Linked DNA regions of Drosophila melanogaster. The protein of the gene in region 2 interacts with the protein of the main gene of each other region in a pairwise test. Each region holds a gene or a part of one and is shown on either strand. Other genes may lie near its edges.

Region 1 (4,869 bases), on a different chromosome or scaffold from region 2:
CCTAGAAAGGAATAACAAAAGTAAATCAGTCTTAAATAATCAATTCAATGTACATACAATATATAAAAGGTATTTATCCAGGTAAAACAACAAAATTAAAAATGTACATCCTAGAACGTCTGGATGTATAAAAAGAGTAGATCTTATTTATTTATTTGTAAGTTATCTAAACAGCGTGTTGGTTTCATTTTTGGTGTAAGTGCTCCTGTAACATTTTGTTCTCGATTTCTCGAATTGAGCAATTTCGAGTGGCCCCAAAAAACGGACAGCCCCATTGTATGCAAATTCAATGGAAACTTCATAAGCGGCGCAAGATTTATGACTCCATCTTGATCGAATTTGGAAAGCCTTGCATTAGAAGCGCATGTGACAGGGGAGGCAGGAGGCGTGGCTGCCATTGTTGCACTTTCCCAGGGTCCGTAAAAATGAACTGAAAGGGACGTCGAGCATTACGTATACGCGACGTATGCCTAGAGCGGTCAGTGGCTCGGACACTCTATTTTGTTGGCCAACAAATGGGGAGGATGGGCGGTAGCCAAACGCTAAATCAAGCGAAAGACGACATGTTTATGGCAGGGACGAAGGACTACTTAGCCGACGAGCCCCAGCACAAAACGCAATAAAAGTGCAACAAACAAACAGCGAGTTTTCAGCCAAGAAAGGAGGAGAAAGTAATGGGGTAGGTTCACGGGTGTAGGCAAATGGGGGTCTCTGCCCTGGCATGCGTTGCCAAATATAGACTCTCAAGGCTGAAGGCGACACGGAACGTAAAGTGCGCGCCGGAAACATTTCGAAATGTAGCCTAAACACTTGTCCGGCTCCCCTGCTTTTCCCGCCTCCCCCCGCCGCCGGCATCCAGCACCCTTTCCTGGGTATTTCCACACCCCCAAAAACCATGTGTGTTTGTTTTCGCAAAAACGTGCGGGTCATAATTAGCCGTTGACGCCGCCTTCAGTCGGCTGTGCTTTGGGGAAAAGCGGAAAAGCAGAAAAGCGGGCAGGGGAAAGCGCCACATGCGACCATCTGACCCCAAGTGGACAAGTGTCTGCGCCCCCTTCGCCTTCCTTGGAGTGTCTGTGCAAAAAGGTCGCCTGCCGCCAGGCAAAATAAACCGCCTGAATTGGACCAGGATCGGAATAGAATAGGTGGGGCCACTGGCTGTTGGCTGGCCATCCATTCGAGCGCACATACTTCATTGTAATGTATGGCAGACCAGCCACAACAGCACGCAGATCCCAGGATTCGGGGCACTCGGGGATCAGGCAGCCGCGTAACACATAAAACACTCTTGGCTGAAGCTTCGCATATTTTTGCGTTCGTCGCGGCTTTTGATGTGCAACGATGTGGACAGTGGGCACGACAATTGTTAGTTTAAGTAAAAAAAAAAATATACAACATATATATAATAATGAAAACCAGAAGATAAAAACGGAATTTTGAATGGAAAATGATTTTGTTGTAATTATTTTAAAATTAATTTGCTTTTAATTCGTATTTATTTTTAAGGGTTTTTCTCATGTATAAATGCTGTTAAAACCAAATATTCCTATAATAGGAAATATCAATTTAATTGAAATATTTTTTGTTTTTAATTCTTTTCTTTAAATTTTGTTTGATTACAGGATTTTGAAAAAAAAAAATCGTGCTATATAATCCCACTGTTGTACTCCACGTGCTTTACTCCACTTGCTTAGCTGGGAAACTGGGGGGGAAACAAAAGTTTCTGGGTAGCTGGACAAATTGCAAGTCTATTGAATTTTTATTAGAAGCATAAATCAAAAAGCGTTAGATTTGCCAGCTGGGGAAAGAGTTCGATAAATATGTCAATAGATTCTGCACATAGATAGCCGACAAAGGGTTAAGAAAGAGGACAAATCAAAGATGAACAAACCACAAGAACAAGAACTTTGATAGGCTTTATCAGTCTGCAACTGATTATTACTCTGGGTCTAGACATAAATATTTATTATTTAAATAAAGTGGTGAACGTCTTGGATTTTTTTGTGACCACTTTCCAATCTTTTAAACAATCATTGTTTATAAACATTTAGGTCACTAGTTTTGTGTTTGGAAAAGAAATGTTTCCATTTATCTTATCTATACTCATGAATTTATGACCAACTAAGAGTGTGTTATTAACACTTCTAAAATTCGAAGCCCGCCAATCGGTTTTTACGAGCAGAGTTGCCATATTTATGTTTAAAGAATCCAGATAACAGCTGATTGCGTCCATAGGAATTTCCAATTAGACTCTCCCATCTTTAAACCAGCTTTGCAATACCGTAGATGGGCGTAATACTAAAGAGATTTCAGTATTGACAGGAAAGGCGTAATATGGCACAGCGGCCACCAATGGGTTAATGGCCCAAAGAAACCCCCAACAACGTGAAAACAAAACGCAACGCAAAGCGAAACACAACAAAACAAAAACTAATTGGAAAACCAATATCGAGGAGAGCACGACTATCAGGTCGAAAATCGGGAGATACGTGGGCTACAGCACAGATATAACTTACATATATGCATGTAGAAGAGGGATGGGTGATAGGGGTAGGGGGAGTTGGGGCTAACTTACTTTGGAGTTTCAGTGTGGAAGTTGAATTAGAAGTAGAAGAGGACGAAGCGCTGGTGGAAATATCGGGCACATTTTCCATGTGCACAGCTTTAACAACCAATTTTAGAATGCACTACTCTCTTAGCGGTTGGCACATTTATTTCGCTTTATTGAGAATGCATTTTCATTTTTGCACACCAGCTCGCACGCACACACACACAGGTGACATGGGCGCTCGCACACGCACACAGCGACACCGAAATCGCAGAACTCTGGGATATCGAAAAAAGGTAAACAAAACTTTTTCACTGCCTCCCTGTGCGCAAGCCGTGGAGTCCCTTGGCGGATTTCGATGTGCTTCAGCTGGACGATGCATAAAATGCAACAAAAATCAATAATATCACCGTTTCACACACGAAATTATTAAAAAAAAACGATAGCGAAAATATTTTGAGCTACTCCAAAACTGTGTGCATGTCAAACTGTCAAACATATGACGGCAAAGTTGCCAGATGTTGCAAAGGGCGAGCTCCCACAAAACTTAACGACAATGATTTCGAATTTTTTAAAATTGATAACTTATTATACAAGAAAGCAAGAATACTTTACAAGCCAATAACCTTGTAATCTTAACCTTACAAGTCTATGTTTGATATAAATTAGTTTAAACTATATCTAACCATCTGGCAGCACCCCAAGTGTTCCACTTATCGGCTTATCGGTCAAGATGACAACTCCAACATTCAATTATCGGAAATCGGGCACTATATTTAAAATATCGTATTGAATTTCAAATCCGGGTTTTGTTAGTCATTTTTTATACGTTTTATAATTATTTTCTTTCTGTTGAATTTTAAACTCCGATGTATCCCGCCGTGTCCGCTGTTTACCGCCGACGTCCAGCTGACGGTTCCACCCTTCTTTAACTTACATATGTATATGTACATTTCAACGAATCTAGTATACCCTTTCAGTCTACGAAAATTTTAATCTTAGTTCAATCAAATGATGTATATTAGTATATAGGTACATAGTCGATGGCCTCGGTTATATTATCTTAAATAAATAAATAATGAAGGATTGATGAATTTATAATGCATATTTGTCTTAAAAACGCTGAGATTGGTTTGCTTGGACGTGAGCAGGAAGTTCTATTCCTGCGACTTTTGTTAGAACCCAAGGAAAATATTACATACCATTCTAGTTCTTAGCTTAGTTCAATCATAAAGTTATATGTCAAAATCCTTTAAGAGGAGCATGCAAATGGGAAGTAAAATGGGCGTAAAATGTAAATGACATTTTGTGTAATTCGCATATGTACATTTGTATATTGTAAGCTATCAAAATATATGTATGTTTGTATGTATGTACAGCCCTTGAGACCGCCCATCATTGATAGGCAACGACTTTCGCCGAACTTTCCTTGGATTTTTCCAGCAGCCGACCCCGCGGTTTTCCGACCCCGCCTCGCTTCCCTCCGCTTCCCGCGACCAGCGGAAGTCTCGGGGCTCTGGCTCTATCAAAATCAACGGGCGGGGCGACTGAAGCGAACACAGAATAATTGCCATAGCTGTGTGCCAGTGCCAGTCAGTGCCAGCAGTTTGAAATCGACGACAACATCAGCAGCAACAAGCATTGCAACAACAGCGACGGCGCGGTGATAAGTCGGCTGCTGGCTGTATATTGCCGCTGGCTTGTTATTTTATTGTCGCTTTTGTTGCACATTGAAAATAATACACAAAATAATTGAATTACTCGAAATGTGTGCATGTCCGTGTGCGTGCCACTTGTGTATGTATGTGTGTGTGTCGTGCCTTTATGGGGGCGTTCAGGGCCCCGCTGATAAGCGATGATCAAGAGGTAAACGAGATAAGCGCTGCTCATTTGGAAGCACAGGCAACACGCGCTAAATGAACCCGCCAACTTGATAATCCGCGATCCCAGAAAACAAAATATTTGTCTTCTGAATTATCTTGTAATGATAATTTGACAGTTATTGTATATTAAGAAGGTCAATGTTTACTTATGGGAAGCATAATAAAGCTGAAATTAGAATTTTATGTTTATATCTATAGTTAGGATAATATGATATTCTCTCAATATTGCTACATTACATTGCTGGCTATAATTTAGGCATTGGAATTAATCCGAATCGCGTTGCTTGTTTGATTTGCAGCTTTGAGTTTCTTATTTACATATGTATATGCATTTTGTGGCACTTTGACAGTACTCCCCACTTTTGATTTCCTACAGTGTTCCCCGTGCTCGTCGACATGTGATAAGGAGCGTGAGGTGGAAACGTGACTCTCGGCGGG
Region 2 (6,553 bases):
TCAGGATGGTTTGGTCGTAGTTCTGGTAATCACTGGGATTCATCTTGCAACTGCCCTTGAAGTACACGTCAAAGAATACAGTCTTGACCATGGAGCCATAGGTGAGGTCATTTGTAATATACAGGACACAATTGTAGGCACATATCGCTGTTATGGTCAAGCCCATCCAGATGATGGACTGGGCCTGAAATAAAAATAACAATAAAATAAGAGGAGTTCTCAAAACGTCAGAGCCACACTGAATAAAAATGAGCACTATTTTTAATCGGTTTTTGTTTGTCATGTTTTTTTAAATTTATATTTATATTGAAAATTAATTAAATAAAATTGTTTTATCGTTTGTTCTTCGTGTTCCGTCATTAAAGAGGTTGGATGGCTTCTAGATCGTGATATTATTCATACCCAGCGAAATATCCAATTTTGTATGTACTTATTTACGTTTACGTTTTTTAGTGTCCCAATCTAGATCTTTTGTTCATTCACTTGTTTACACACGTCAATCGGCATTATCTGATATCTGTGGTGCGGCTCAGTTCTTCAGTTTGGGAGCCGTCCCGGATGAGTCAATGAGTATTATACTCGTATCATGATTAGCTCTCCGACTGTTGGAATACTGGACTATTCGATAGGGAGAGACCATCCAATCTTAGTAAGTGCGCTCAATGTCAGGTCGAACATCTCCCCATATCACTTATCGATGAGCTGGGAATGGGGTCGCGGTCGCTTGGCGGCCTAGACTGTAACATTGAATTGCCAGCGCCGACTTACCACTCCGAGAATTCCGGCCCAAGCTGCTACCGTTTTAAGGGAGCCAAAGTGCTTGATTTTTGCCGCTGGTGCTGAATACATTTTGCAGTGACTGTTCGATATATAGGGGTGGTTTCCAGATACTGGGAGATATTCTCACGCCCCGTATGCGGGACTCAAATCGATCGGGTTGAGTGCGCTTTTGCAGTACGCGACGTCTGTTGGCCAACTGAACGATCGAGCCGGACAATTGAGTTCGCCACCCGTTTACTATATTTCCCGATAAACCTTGCGATAATGGCTCTTATAACAAAAAGCCAACTGGCCAGGGGCTTTTATTTTTTATGTTTCGCTTCGATCGAGGCGGTATCCGCTCGCTTTTCGTTTCGTTCGTTAACTGAATTCTGTGGTTTGGCTGGAACGTTTATCAGGTCGTATGTTATATTATCGCTACTGATAAGAGAGCCCCCTTCCCTTCAACTTTCCTTTGGCTAAAAGATATACCTAAATCGAATAGGTAAAACTGGAATTTCGGAATCTTATCGGTCCTATGTATTAGCACATTAGTGATGTTGGCCTTTATCACTGCGTAAATGCAAGTATTTAATGCTTACCTCACAGGTTGGGTATGCCAAATATTTACGAGGAGAATATTTGTGAATTTAAAGTGGGCGGGCAAAGGCGCCCTCTACTGTCTACAAAACGCACTGTTAATTTTGACATTGCATGATAGGAATGACGCTGAGCCTTTTTTCAAGACAAAATGTGCTAATTATTTACCTTTTACAAATACAAGCACAACAAGTAAGTATTTATTTGTATTTAACCACTCAGCAATCGCAATAAGAAAAATAAATGCTTTATTATTTCAAGTAAATAATTACGTTATCGTAATGAACGGCAACGCTGTGAGATTTTCTCTGTCTGACCATGGTTGACCTCCCAGGCAGCCGCCATTTCCGTGGCGTGCGAGTGAAACGACTAGCCCATGTTTTCCCGCCGTGCCAGGGCAGCGAGCATGCTAAAGAGCGAGACGACCATACGCGTCCGTCGAGAACTGCTACAGCACATACGCATTTTTAACCCTAAAAAATACAGCACCGAGTCTTTAGTACAGTCAAAGTGACGCCGCGACAACTCAGAACGAAACCGAAAATTAAAAACGGAAGAGATTGTTGTTCCTGGTGTCCAAAAAAGATAGATTGTTTCGTTCGAGTGGCTCATCCGTACCCGATCGATACATAAATCCCAGCAAGCTGCCAAACCGGAGTGCAGAAGTGTAGTTTGTCGTAATCGCCGATTAATATTGAAAGGTAGCGGCTTGCAGTTGCGCGTGTAGCGCCCGCACAAACCGAATAACACCATCACTACGGCGTGCTCACCTGAATCCAAAACGCCACGAAATGAACAACCAACTGAATCCGGCCACCTACCGCAAGTTTAACAATCTGCTCAGTAGCGGAGCGGTCACTGTGACCGGTCCCAGCCAGCCGCGAATCCTCAAGTCGACGCGTATGGTGGTACCCGGTGGTGGCGGAGGAGGAGGTGCCTCTGCCGGAGGAGCCTCAGCCGTTGGCGGCGTAGCACAGCAGCAGGCGGTCAACGATGCAGAGTCGGGTGGCGTGGGTATCGGCGGATTAGCCACGCGATGCTATATCTGCGATGACCGCTGCGAGCCACAGACTTCGCTAACCGATATGTGCACCACGCACACTTCCACCAAATTCCCCAACAAACTGGCCCAGCTCGTGGGCGAGGGTTTCCTCGTGATTGTTTGCGGCGAGGATTACGTGTGCTCACGCTGTACCAACCTGGTGAACTACTACGACCGCCTGGAAAACGATGTGGAGCGCGTCAAGACGAACCTCATCAGTTTGCTTAACAAGAAGTATGCCATTAACGAGGATATGGGCCAGGAAGGCAGTCCGCCGCTCAAGATGCAGAAAATGGTCGGCGGATCCGCCAATCGCTCGTTGGAGGAGAGTCCTAGTGCGGATTTGCTGCGTCCACGTAAACTCCTGCAGGGAAACCCAGGTAAGTACATAAATACAGAAATTATAAAGCTTTCCTAATGCATATTCTGCAATCGTACAGTTGGCCAGTCCAAGATCGCCCCAGGAACCACCCAGAGCAGCGTCCAAGGCACCCAGACAGTCCAACGCAAGGCCACCAAGATTTATAAATGCACCTCGTGTGACTATAAAACCTCGGATATGCGGCTGTTCAACACGCATTATGAAACCTGCAAGCAGCAGACCTTCCAGTGCAAGACCTGCCGCAAAATCTTCCCGCACTTTGGGGCCATGAAGCAGCACATGGTGCGCGACCACAATACCGCCATGGATAACACGTGTGCCATGTGTCACATTAACTTCGTGAACGAGAACAGCCTGCGCAAGCACATGGAGACGAATCACGCTACCAATGTACTGGTGACCAGCACCACCACCATACCGGCATCAGCTGCTCCCGTGGCTGCTGCTGCAGCTGCCGCTGCAGCTGCTGCCAACGAGAATCTGGTTGGAACATCGCTATACACATGCAATCATTGCCAGTTCAAGTCAACGGACAAGGTCGTTTTTGATGAGCATATGCGCAAGCATGCCGCTGGTAAACCTAAGCCTTTTAAGTGCCGCCTGTGCTCTCAGCGCTTTGAGACGCGCGAAGCTGCTACTGTGCATGCCAAACAGCATCAGACCAACTTCTTCAAGTGCGGCACTTGTTCGATGACCTTCCCGAAACGGGAGATGCTTGTTAAGCACTTCGAAGTGCATCAGAGTCCTTCCGCATCGACGGTATCGCCCAAGCAGTCAGTTAGCCAGAACCTGAACACCCAGAAGCTCCTTCAAGAGACCATTGATGAGGCACTGAGCGATAGCCTGCCTGCTTCGACAGCTGCTGTGGTGGCAACCACCGAGTCGGAGAACAACATACGCTTCTTCTCGTGCAGCATTTGCTCACTGACTTTCATCCAGGAGACATACTACAACCACCACATGGAGACCCACAGACGTGACAAGAAGGCAACTTCGGCCGGAGCCACTGCCCTAAATTCGGCAGCTACGGCTTTACTAAGCGATGAGCCCGGAGAGGCAACTGGTAAGGCCGGTGACGAGAGCGGCGAGCAAAACGCAGAGGCCGACATTGAGAGCCTGTTTGAAAAGCTCCACTCCGACAAGAACGAGAGCGGTGAGGCGCCCAAACCGGGAAGCAAAGGCGGCGAGATGGTTATTACCTCGCAGGAGGGCAGTGGAGGCATAACCTTCAACATTACTATCCCGCAACCGGACGGAGACCAATCGCAAAAGGATTCGCCCAATACCACAGCACCTGTCTCTGTTAGCATTGACATGCCAAATTTGGATCAAGCCGAAGACGAATCACAGTCCCAGGGCAGCATCGATGCCAAGGGCGAAAGCGGCGAGGCCTCCTCTGCCGATAGCAAATCCAATGCCGCACCGGTTTCCATGCCCAGTTTAGATGATGACAACGAGGCTGCAGCTGCTGAAGCTGAGGCCTCAGAGGAAACCAAGACGGCTAGCAAAGCAGGTCAAGAGAAAGCCAAGGCCAAGGCTGGAGAAAGCGCCAAGTCAAAGGAAGCCGCCGCTGCTGAGGAACCACAACCATCTGACGAAGGAGACGTAGTTGCTAAGCGTGAGGCTACAGATACGCCCACAACTGAGTCGGAGGCCAATGCCACGACCGCTGAAGCCGGTGAATCTGGCGAAGGCGAGGTTACTGCCAGTACTGGAGCCGAGGGCGAGGCGGGTGAAGCTGCAGGTGGCGAGCATGTTGCCATGGAACTTGACGAAGCCATGCAGGCACAGGTGGAAGGTGGCCAGATCAAGTTCATTGTTAACGAGAACGGCCATCTCCTCCAGCTGGACAACCACATCCTGACGGACGCCGAAGGCAACCAAATAATTGTGCAAGATCCCGAGCAAATACAGCAGCTGCTCCAAAGTGTAGGAGTTCTGCAGTCCGGCGAGGGACTTGAGGGCGAAACCCTCCAGATGATGACCGATGGCAGTGGCCAGATGGTACTTGTCCATGGTGACAACAATGAACAGCAGCTTATCGATGCCTCCCTGTTGAACTCCGAGGGGCAGTTAATTATCCAGCAGGGACAGGATGGTGAGGAAGGCGCTCATGTCATTAGCGAGGATGGTACCCGCATCCCAGTGTCCGTGTCGTACACGGAAGATGGCCAGCCCATCGTCCAGGTTCAGCAACAGGTCCTGGAGGCCGCACAGCAGGCAGCCAGCGCTTCCGGAGGTGCAGATGACAAGGAGGCGGCTGCCGACTCGGCCGGCGAGGAAGTGCAAGTGTCGGAGGCATCTAGTGGCACGGCATCCACCACCGTTGTTGCCACGAGCACGGCCAGCAGCACTGGTGGCCCCTCCGGCGGCAGCTTTTTTGCCCTGGAGGAGTTTACGGAGACAAAGACCGACTAGGATTGGCCCTAGGGGCGTGGTCATGACCACTATACCATACTGGCATGCGAAGAGGACTGGTAAGTTAAAGGAATCACCAGCGTGAACTGGGATATTCATACTTTTTCGTTTGTTTTAGGTTTTAGCTGTGGGCACGCTCAAGATCTCTGGAGGACTTTTGCACACCCCAATTTGAAACCCACTCCCTGACACCCACAACCGAACCAACTTTACAGACAACTGAACACGAAGACAGAAAAATACACACACGAACCTTTTCAATATATATTTACATTTAGTATATGTATTAAACACTCCAGTAAACTAAAAGAAAGATTTCTTATTACCCAAGCAAAGGAAAAAAACTAATTCAATAAATCAAATTGTTCATTCGGTCCGTTTCGCACTAGGCTGCCAGGGATCTCAAGCCAGATCTCTTTGGTTGCCTCTTAAATATCGTATCTAGGTTTAGTAATAGTATAGACAAAACTGCAAGATGAAAGCGACAAAAAATGTATAAACATAGAGTTTATGTGAGAAACTTGGAATATAATAAATGTATGTATTTACAAGATAACTCAACAATTACACTAAATAAATCGATTTAAACACAAACATTTGATGAAAATTAAGTTCCGAAATCGGCACAAATCAATTCAGAAATAGTGATGCTTCCTAACACCTAGTGATCCCCGTAAAATGTAAGGATAGGTGAACAATCCCGCTTTCCACTTCCATAAACTCCAGATTCACACCCAAAACAAACAAACACAGGCCGCAAACACGCCCAAATATATGCATGCACGTATATATGTCAAGCAACTTGAAATATATAATTGTAAAGAAACGAACATCGGTTTCAAGTTCCTTTATACTCTGTGAGCGATCTTTGGAATTTGGTATGCATGTAAATCAATTCAGATAAGTTAATTAAACGCGCTGATGGCAACTGTGTTCCAATGAATACAGATGACACAGAAGGCAGTCCCAAAGTTTACATATTGTCAGTATGGATCCAACCATTCATTTCTCAAGTCAGTAAGTTCGTTGACCTTTAAAATGGATTAGTCGGTTATGAATGATATTTTCGAAGTATGCATACCAGCGAAACTTTCGACTCGTTCTTAATTGCCCAACACCTGTTGGCGGCGGATGAGGTCGACTATATTTAAATGTTCAGGTAGTTGATTAATAAGATTTAATACTAAGTTGGATACTAAACTGCCAGCGGTGGCATTAAAGCATTTGGACTGTCATGAAGGCCTTATGAATGCCCCGTTCCGATCCATAAATCAGTGAATGTTGTGATTCTGAAAACAGCAACCGGATTGGCACGTGGATGCGGTTTTGGAGGAACTAATGATTATTTCATA
Region 3 (4,601 bases), 6.5 Mb from region 2:
CAAATAAAAACAATAACAAAAACAGTCGGACGGAGATGGAAATAATGGAAACTCGCGGTGCGACGCGTCGCTCACACTCTCCTCCGCTCACGCACACAGTGACACAGACAAAAGACAACCGGCTTTTACTTTTGCGCGCTCTGCACATTCTGCAGCAGGATTTTGAGATTTCAGATGCTGAAAAAGAAAACAGAGCAGCGCTTAAAGAAAGAGCGCTTAGCTGTTCTTCTTCTGTGTCCTCTCCCGCTCCCGCTCCCGCTCCAAACATTTAATTATATAGCATTGCTCAGAAAACAACCCCTCTCCATTTACGGACTCACCAACCAACACCCTCCCTTCATCCAATGCCAATCTCTTGAAATGACACATCTCACCGCACTCCCATTTGCGCTCTTTGAACTCTGCCTCCAACCAAAGTCTCGCTCATCGATTTTTCAGAGTTGCATTCCATTTGCCGTAGGAGCAAGGGAGAGGGAGCAAGAGCAACAAAGAGCGACCGCCATGTGTTTTTGCGTGCGTGTGTGAGTGTAACGAGATCAGTACATCTTGTACTTTTCGGACTCTTGCAGAGTTCACAGCCGCATTGGTCCCGTTCTTTTTGTTTTTTTTTTTTTTTCTTTGACATTTCCCCACGACGGCTCTGAGCGGCGTTTTCAAAAATTTCGCTCTGTTTACTTTTTCACGGCCCAGAAAAGGAGAGGAGAGATGAGGAGCGCTGAGAATAAGGGGGAGCGAAGCGCAGAGTAGCCGCTGTCGGCGTCGCATCAGGTGTTTTCATTTCGCTGGCCGCGCTCTGTTTTGGTCAGTATTTCCATTACGATAGGGCCACGCATTGAAGACGGTCCAACTTTCATACTTAAGCGCACACTTTGAACAATCGACAGAGTGGCGGAAAAGCGTCAAAGTTAAAGTGCAAATGAGTTGTTAAAAAGTACAGTATCGCAATACAGCTCATGAAAAAACTTGCAAGCTCCATTTAAAAGTGCGCCTTCCTAATATGAAATGCTTTAGTTTATAGAAATACGGGTTGGATTCGATACGAGGGAAGCGCACCAGACAGGCTTGCTTATCTTTGGTACAATCTGGACTTGGTCACTATGTTATAAGTTTAAATAAAGATTTGAAGTAGATAAGTCTATTAAAGTCCAGGAACTTTTAATTGAGCGAAGTTTGCTGTTAGACAATCAATCTAGCAATCTAAAATGGTGACATACAAAATACAAAAGACTTAGCTTAGGAAATGGGTTAAGGAAATCAAACCAATCAATACAAATTTAATTTTAATTATCTTTGTATATGTATCCATATTCCCCCCAATATTTCAAGTTCCCCCTAGCCAGAGCCAACTGTACAGTTCTGTCTGTGAAGAAAGAGGTCGCGCTCGTGTGCACCCAACAACAGCAAGAACCAAAAGGCAAGACGAAAGCTCCAACCATCCAACAACTACAACAGTTGCCGCGCTGCTTTTGGCGCTCTCGTTTGCGCTCGCTCTAACACATGCGATTTAAAAGTTGGCGCACCAGCTTTCGGCTCTCCCCTCTCTGTTACACCACCGGGCCCAAAACCACTTTTCTGTCGACCGAACCAACTGGTTCTCTCGCTCTCTCCCTCTCTGTCTGCGCTCTGTCTCTACGTCTCACTCTCTCGTTCTCCGGTGAACTTTGCAACAAGAAAAAGCTGATAAGCAAGATAGACGGCGGGAATGCGGGGGGCGGAGCCACTCATTCAACTCAATTGACAGTGGAAAACTTGTACAAAAATCTCTAGACAACTTTTGGAGCGGAGCGTAAATCTGCGTTATTTATACATATGTATGCATTTGCGTGCGAGTGTCAGTTTCTCTGCGCTCCAAACATTAACCTATTTCTGCGATTGGATTTCTCTGTTTACAAACTGTACGAAACGTTTGAGGTTATGTACAAGCTCTCTTATTGAAAGGTGTTTTAGGCAGTGTTTCCGAACCGAGCACTTACCTTTAGCAAGTCCAGCAGAAAGGGGGAGGCGGCGCACAGGACTATCTTGTGGGCGGGAAAACTCCGCCCGCCGGCGGCCAACGTGCAATCGACGAGGTCGCCATGGCAGCGCAACAATTGGATTGCCGATACGAGGCTGGTGCCGTAATCGCCCCAGGTGAGCGAATACAGCGAATTCATTGGCAGCGACATCAAAGCGGTCGCGTCCAAATCCAACAATTGTTGTTCCTCCCCAGCGTTGCTAGCGTATTCGCTGCTATTTGTCTCCAACACGACGATTTAATGTTTAACGGTTACGGGGAAAATTCTCTTCAAGTTGGGATTTTTCGCAAAAATCCCCTTTCTACTCCTCCTCCACGACGCCACTGCTTTTCCAACTCCCTTTGCTCTTCCTCTTCTTGCTGCTTGGCGCGCTGCTTTCTCGAAACTGAAATGAAAAATGGAAAAGAAAAAGAGTACAGACGTTAGTTATTAGCTCTCTCTCTCTCTCTCTCTTTCTCGGTCTCACTCTCCCGCTCTCGCACTCTTTGGGGGCCAGAGCGCGCGAGAGCGAGACAACGCATGTGTGTAGGCTGCTCACAGGAATTTTGTTGTTGGAGAAGACTTTTTCACAAGGGGACTGACAACTAGTATACAATTGATGTTTCAAAATTCGTTGCTGCCCACAAAAATCACACAAAAATAGCGCGCCACATTTAAAAACGCCAACAGCACACACACGCGCACAAACTCAGACAGACGGACAGCCGACACAATCACATTTTTTAATACACAGTACAGTCAAGCCATGAGACACGCATTTAATTTTTTTTTGTCACTCAGTTATTTTGTTCGTTTTATAATCGCATGTCTCTTGATTTTGTTATTGTTTTCCCGCTCACGGAGCGCACTTTTTTTGTTTGTTGGTTCGGTTTTGGTTTGTGAAATTATCTTCTCACCGGAGCGCAAAAGAAAATTTCAGTGGCTGTGGGTGATTTTGTGCCTTCTCTTTCTCTTGCCCGTACGCTTTTTTCTCCTGCTTGTTTGTCCGCTCGCCAACGTTGGATAACTCGAACTGAGACTGAGTAAATGGTTTCGATCGAATTTCGCTGCTCCGGCGCTGCCAGCGCGGCCAGTTTTTCAGTTCTCTACTCGGGGAGAAAATGTGTAATTTCTGTACTGCTGGTGGTGGTTATTTTGCGTGCTGGTGTGCGTGCGCGCCTGTATCTGTGTATCTATGAGAGAAGTGACCTGCCTGGCAACGCTCTTTGAAGTACAGTTGTCGAGCGGCATTGCCAGATGGAGCGCAGGAAGAGTATTTTTAGGATGGAGAGGAGAGCAAGACGGCAAGACAAAAAAGTCGGCAAGATAGTAAACAAAACTATAAAAGGTGGTAAATATTGAATGATGGAAATATTCTGGGCCGACTTCACGGATGAAAAACACATGTGTCCGACCGGTTGGAATATCAGAGTGCGATAAGAAAAAGGTCAACGGGATCCGTAGGTTCCGGTTCTATAACTATCGGATCCGGTATCAAAATATTCAACATTTTCTTATACTACTCCACTCTGAATAAGCTCAAATTTTACAGTTTAAAAATGAAGGATAAACAATTCAGAACGTTTTTGAATTATTCTAGCTAAGGTATCGAGCAATTGTATTAAAAATAAATTCCAACATTAGCTATGATTAAATCGATAAGCAGATTTTCGTAGAACGAGTCCCTAATCTAACAATTTATTATGTTTGATCACCAAAATCTAGAAGGGTATTGGGTTCAGAATAAATTACTTTCAGTTTTCTTTTTAAGATACCAGATTCCATTTTTCTGGGAACAAGTGTAATGCTACTGAGGGTTACACAGGAATCAAAAGAATCTGATAGGTTTAGATTAAAATAGACATGTATCGGGACTGGGTTTCTCTTCGGTTCCGAAATATTAACAGATCCTGTGAAAGTAATAATAACAAATGGTAGAAAAGCCGGTTCGCTCTTACGCTCTACATTCTCTTTCCCCTGTCTCTAACTCTCCTCTCTCCTTTCGAATCCAATCCAATCACCTGTTACTTTTGACACATCTCAGAGACCGAGACCCTACGGGGTAAAAACATATAGCCAGTCTCATTCTCGTATGCAGATCAAGTCCAGCTTAAGAGCGGAGAGACCCCGCGATAGGGAAGTTAGTCGAATTTGGAATTGAAGGAGAAGGAGAGTGGCACTTCTAGCCAACGCTCAGAGAAGAAAGTAATATAAAGTGAGCGAGTGTCCAAATTTTTAAGATTACAATTTTCTCTGTTATGATGCTGCTGGGCAGGGAAGGGGCCATGAGAAATGCCGTTCGAAATGCCCCTTTAAAGTTCCAATCGGCGTTAAAGCAGTGAGCATGTTTCATGTTTCGTAGCTGGCAATACCAACCAACGGAGCATGATGTGAGAATGAGGGAGAGCGTGCGCGCTGGGGGGTGTTGGTGGTGGGTGACTCGGCAGAGGTGGAGGAATGAGTGCAAACCAAGCACAGTGGGATACAAAACATAAGTGGTAGGAATAGAATTACTATGTAAAATTTTGGAATACATTGTATAACTGGTTTTTGTAAACAAATTGTATAAGCGTTACTGGACTATTTTTTCCATTGGCTAGTTTTTAT
Region 4 (3,991 bases), on a different chromosome or scaffold from region 2:
TTTACATAGAGCACAGATTAAGCATACGACGTGTTGTGCAGTTATCAACGCGATGCCAACGATTCCTAACGGAACACCGTGCGTCGTCCCATGGCGGAGGTCTGTTCCCTCAAACGCTCCACCTTGGTCTTCGGTAATTTATGATTCGCAGCGCACGGCCCGCAAATGATCTATTGCCCATTGCAGTTATCCAAGCGGAGTAGGTGGAGCAGGGAGCAGCCGAGGACTTTGGATCGGCACTTGTTGCATCAGCATCGGGCGACCATAACAGCCACAAGTGATTTCTTTCGCATCGATGCCTCCAGGCGCTGCTGACAGTTACAAAGTGCGCCCACTAGTTGGCGGTCAGGTTAAAATGACCCAAACTAAAAGCCAAAGCGAAGCCGAGCCACAATGCATATACGCGTTGTCGACGCCATCTCCCTAGCTTTGATTAATGGACTTTTCGTGTTGGCTTCGATTCTGGCCACGGCGTCATAAATAAACTCTAAAAATGCAACAACAGGCAAAAGGTGGAGCACGTCTGTGCGGCGCATATTTATCATTGGTAAACTTTATTCTTAACATTTACATACAACGCGTTAAAATTACTTGTCCAATTGTTTTTCACTTTAGATATTACAATTTTATGCCTATTTCATATATATGGATATCGTAGATGAAGTGCTTGAAAAGTTGAAAATAACTGTTTACACAATAGAATTCTATGTCAATTTTAAACTAGTCAATTTAAATCTGGCTACTATAAGTTACAGTTTTGTGTGTGTTCCGGCGGAGCGCAGGACTTGGAGAGCTAGAAAACGTTCGAGTGCCAAAGAGCACATTCGTAAAAGACCTATACAATTCGAGCTGACTTGACTCGTTCCATTGCTTTTGCTAATGCTGATCCTTTCGCCGTGGCTTCTGCTGGTGCTGGAGTTTTTGCCGACTGCTTAGACCCACTGATCTCGCCCTGCCGCTTGGGACACTATAAGGACGGCGGATCGTACTGGAAGCCCGGGTTGTTGAACTTGAAGCGCGCAATCTCAAATTGCAGTGTCTCGAATTTGATGTCGGCCAGTCGCTTCAGCTGGTGCGCGATCTGCTGGGCATCGCTGCTGCTCAGCGCGCTTGTCAGCGAACTGGGTTCCCGCTCCAGCTTTGTACTGTGCAGCGGCGGCACGGCCTGCATGTTTGAAATGCAACGCGGCGCATTTTTAACTGAAAGATATGGAAAAACGTGATGTTAACTGCTTAAACTTAAGCAAAGTAAAACGGCATAGTTACCTTCGTAGATAATTTGCTCCCTGGGCTGTGTGCGCATCCGCTTGACGGGCAGCTCGCCGTTGATCAGCTTATTGCCGGAGGAGGCTGTGCCCGGATTGATGACGGGGGCAGCAGGCCTGCGGGATGTGACGTACTCGACGGCGTGCGGCTGCACCGTTTGGGGATCCTCCTCGACATGCTCGAAGGATGTGTTGTCCACGACGATGGTGCGATAGGTGCCGCCACCCGTATTGACCGCCGTTGTGGACGCGGTGATGCCGGTCTCCGCCAGATTCTCCTCCATCATGTCCTCGTGATCGACATGCTCCTCCACCATCTCCTCCTCGTCCACCTCATCGTTGATTGCCTCTTCAACGGCTGCCTGAAGTTCCTTTTGAAATGCCACCGAAGTACGCTGGCCCAGTTCCTCCATCTCGTCGTCGTGCTCATCCTTTTCGGACTTCAGATTGAGCATCGTTTCGCCGCCGGTGGTGGGCACCTTGCCAAAGAGATCGAGAGCGCGCGTCTCCACGGAGGTCATCGAGATGTCCTTTTCCGTGGACAGAAGGCTGCGTCTGTACTTGCAGCGAGTGGTGTTCTTCCAATCGTTTAGGCGCTGTATGTGGAGCAGGAAATTCGCGATTAGAGGTAACATTATTTGGGTGATGTAGTGGTACTCGTACCTTGCGCCACTCCTCCGGCGTCAGTGTGGGTCCGGAGCTGCACTTGTTTAGCCGGTCGGAGAGCTCCTTCCACTTTTTGGTCAAGTAGTTCAGGTCATAGTCGCGCGGCACTCGTCCGGTGGCGAAAATGGGGTCGCTCTCCATCATGTCGATGTACATTTGGTACTGCTCCGATGAGGTGCGTTTCTTGCGGCGGTCCATCTTGCCGTTCATCCGGGTATCCTTGCTCTGTGCCTGCGTGCTCGATGCCGTGTTTAAATAGCTGGCAAAAGCCCTAAAATGCAAATCGACGCCACCAAGCGATGCGAGATGTTCACAAACAATTTACGCATTTAGCGTTTGGGATTTTCTAGTTGCATTTTGTTGCTGTTGGCGCAGGGTTGCATTCGGCACGCCAGTGGTGCGCATCTGGCGGGAAGCCAAAAAAGCAATTAGATGCCATGCGATAGTTATGGCTAGATGTGCAATAAATAATTCAATTTTGTTGCAATAAAAACATGCGGATTCAGAAATGATTTGTCACAATATTTATTAGCGGTTTCATATAAATCAATAATACATTTCAAAATATATGTGCAAAAAGTATTTCGTCGAACGATATGCATAACAACAGTCTTAAAAACGACTAATTGGTATATGGTACACACTACTCAAGAATTTGTTTTCAACGAATGCCTACTGTACTACTTATTGAGCGTTCCGCGGCTTTTAATTCGAGGCGAAATCAGCAGGTCCCTCTGAGCTCACATATTATATTACATTATACATTATATCAATGTGCATGGCTAGCATGGGCTATAATTCCGGAACGTACTCGAATCCGGGATTATTGTACTTGAAGCGGGCTATCTTAAAGTGCAGCGATGCCTCGTGTATGTCCGAAATGCGTTTCAGCTGCTCCTGGATTTTCTCTCCATAGAAGGCAGACGGTTCTTTCGCGGCAGATTGATCAGATGTGACATCCGCGACTGAAATCAAGGCTATGTCCCTTTATAGGATATTTAGTATTTACATTAGATTTGCGTCTACCCACCTTCGTAGATAATCTCACTGGAACCATCGAGCCTTAGCTTTTTCGCGGCACTGTGACCATTGATGATCGTTGGGTTGGCTTGCTCGTGAGGCTCTGCTATGAACTGCTGGTACTGCACCTCCTCCTCCTCCTCCTCATCCACCAACTCCTCCAGGTTCTCATTCTCTTCTTCATCCAGTTCCTCTTGCTCCTCCATCAGTTCGTGCAGGCGCATCGAAATTCCCTCGCGAAAATTCGGTTCTAAGGAGAAGATCTGCAGGGCTCTGTTCTCCAGAGGAGTCATTGCATTGCTCTTGTCATCCGAGTTGATGCTGCGTCGGTATTTGGAGCGCGTGCTGTTCTTCCAGTCGTTGAGGCGCTATAAGCATGACACACTGTGGGCTTGTACACTCGATACCCAACTGGTTACAACATACCTTTCGCCATTCCTCGGGCGACAAAGTGGGACCCGTGGAGCACTTGTTTAGCAGATCGCTGAGCTCCTTCCACTTCTTGCCGTCCTGGGTGCGACTCAGTTTGTTGGCCGACATCGGGGGATTCTCCTCCATGAAGTCTAGGTATACTTCGTATTGGTAGTACGACGTCCGCTTGTTGCGTCGATTCATTTTGGGGATCCAAATTATGACCAACAATTGAAAACAAACAAATTGAAACAGACGCCACAAAAAGGCAATAAAGCAACGAGCTATCGATAACACAAACAATTAAGGCTCCGAAATTAAATACCAAAACCGAAATACCAAACTATTTTAGAAAATATCAAAATAATTGTTTGGTTCTCCTAGGTTCGAAAAGAAGTTTCTTGGAATTTGTAATTTACCCGCGCCACAATCTCACAAGATTGTGTAATACATCTAAAAATATTTATTTTTCTCAAAATATCACATTTCAATTTATAAAATAAATTGGTCTAGTTCTTTAAGCATTTTTTGTGTATTTCGTAATTTTTGTAACAAAGCTAGTCCTGCTTTTTCAATCAAGTTCAATCAGAGGGTAGAACAGCTAGTAGAACCGCTGACTCAACATATTT

The links.
Region 1: the proteins of pzg (region 2) and Camta interact in a two-hybrid assay, tested with the Drosophila melanogaster proteins (one study listed by BioGRID).
Region 3: the proteins of pzg (region 2) and Trl interact in a two-hybrid assay, tested with the Drosophila melanogaster proteins (2 studies listed by BioGRID).
Region 4: the proteins of pzg (region 2) and prod interact in a two-hybrid assay, tested with the Drosophila melanogaster proteins (one study listed by BioGRID).

Annotation. Positions count from the first base shown.
Region 1 is NT_033778.4:9,444,218-9,449,086, reverse strand, and holds the start of Camta (Calmodulin-binding transcription activator), read right to left. Parts: upstream 3,042-4,869; 5' UTR 2,655-3,041; coding exon 2,576-2,654; intron 2-2,575; coding exon 1-1. Other genes in the region: ced-6, read left to right, coding at 4,404-4,414.
Region 2 is NT_037436.4:21,284,287-21,290,839, forward strand, and holds pzg (putzig), read left to right. Parts: upstream 1-1,812; 5' UTR 1,813-2,150; coding exon 2,151-2,781; intron 2,782-2,841; coding exon 2,842-5,201; 3' UTR 5,202-5,260; intron 5,261-5,319; 3' UTR 5,320-6,024; downstream 6,025-6,553. Other genes in the region: CG12974 (uncharacterized protein), read right to left, coding at 1-184, 769-849.
Region 3 is NT_037436.4:14,754,931-14,759,531, forward strand, and holds the start of Trl (Trithorax-like), read right to left. Parts: upstream 3,033-4,601; 5' UTR 2,912-3,032; exon of another isoform or gene 2,554-2,911; intron 2,407-2,553; exon of another isoform or gene 2,401-2,406; 5' UTR 2,166-2,400; coding exon 1,974-2,165; intron 1-1,973. UniProt on the Drosophila melanogaster protein: Transcriptional activator that functions by regulating chromatin structure. Overcomes the repressive effects of chromatin by promoting the open chromatin conformation in promoter gene regions, thereby allowing access to other transcription factors.
Region 4 is NT_033778.4:18,968,868-18,972,858, forward strand, and holds prod (proliferation disrupter), read right to left. Parts: upstream 2,267-3,991; 5' UTR 2,142-2,266; coding exon 1,929-2,141; intron 1,862-1,928; coding exon 1,267-1,861; intron 1,201-1,266; coding exon 968-1,200; 3' UTR 537-967; downstream 1-536. Other genes in the region: CG15107 (uncharacterized protein), read right to left, coding at 2,724-2,908, 2,962-3,319, 3,378-3,566.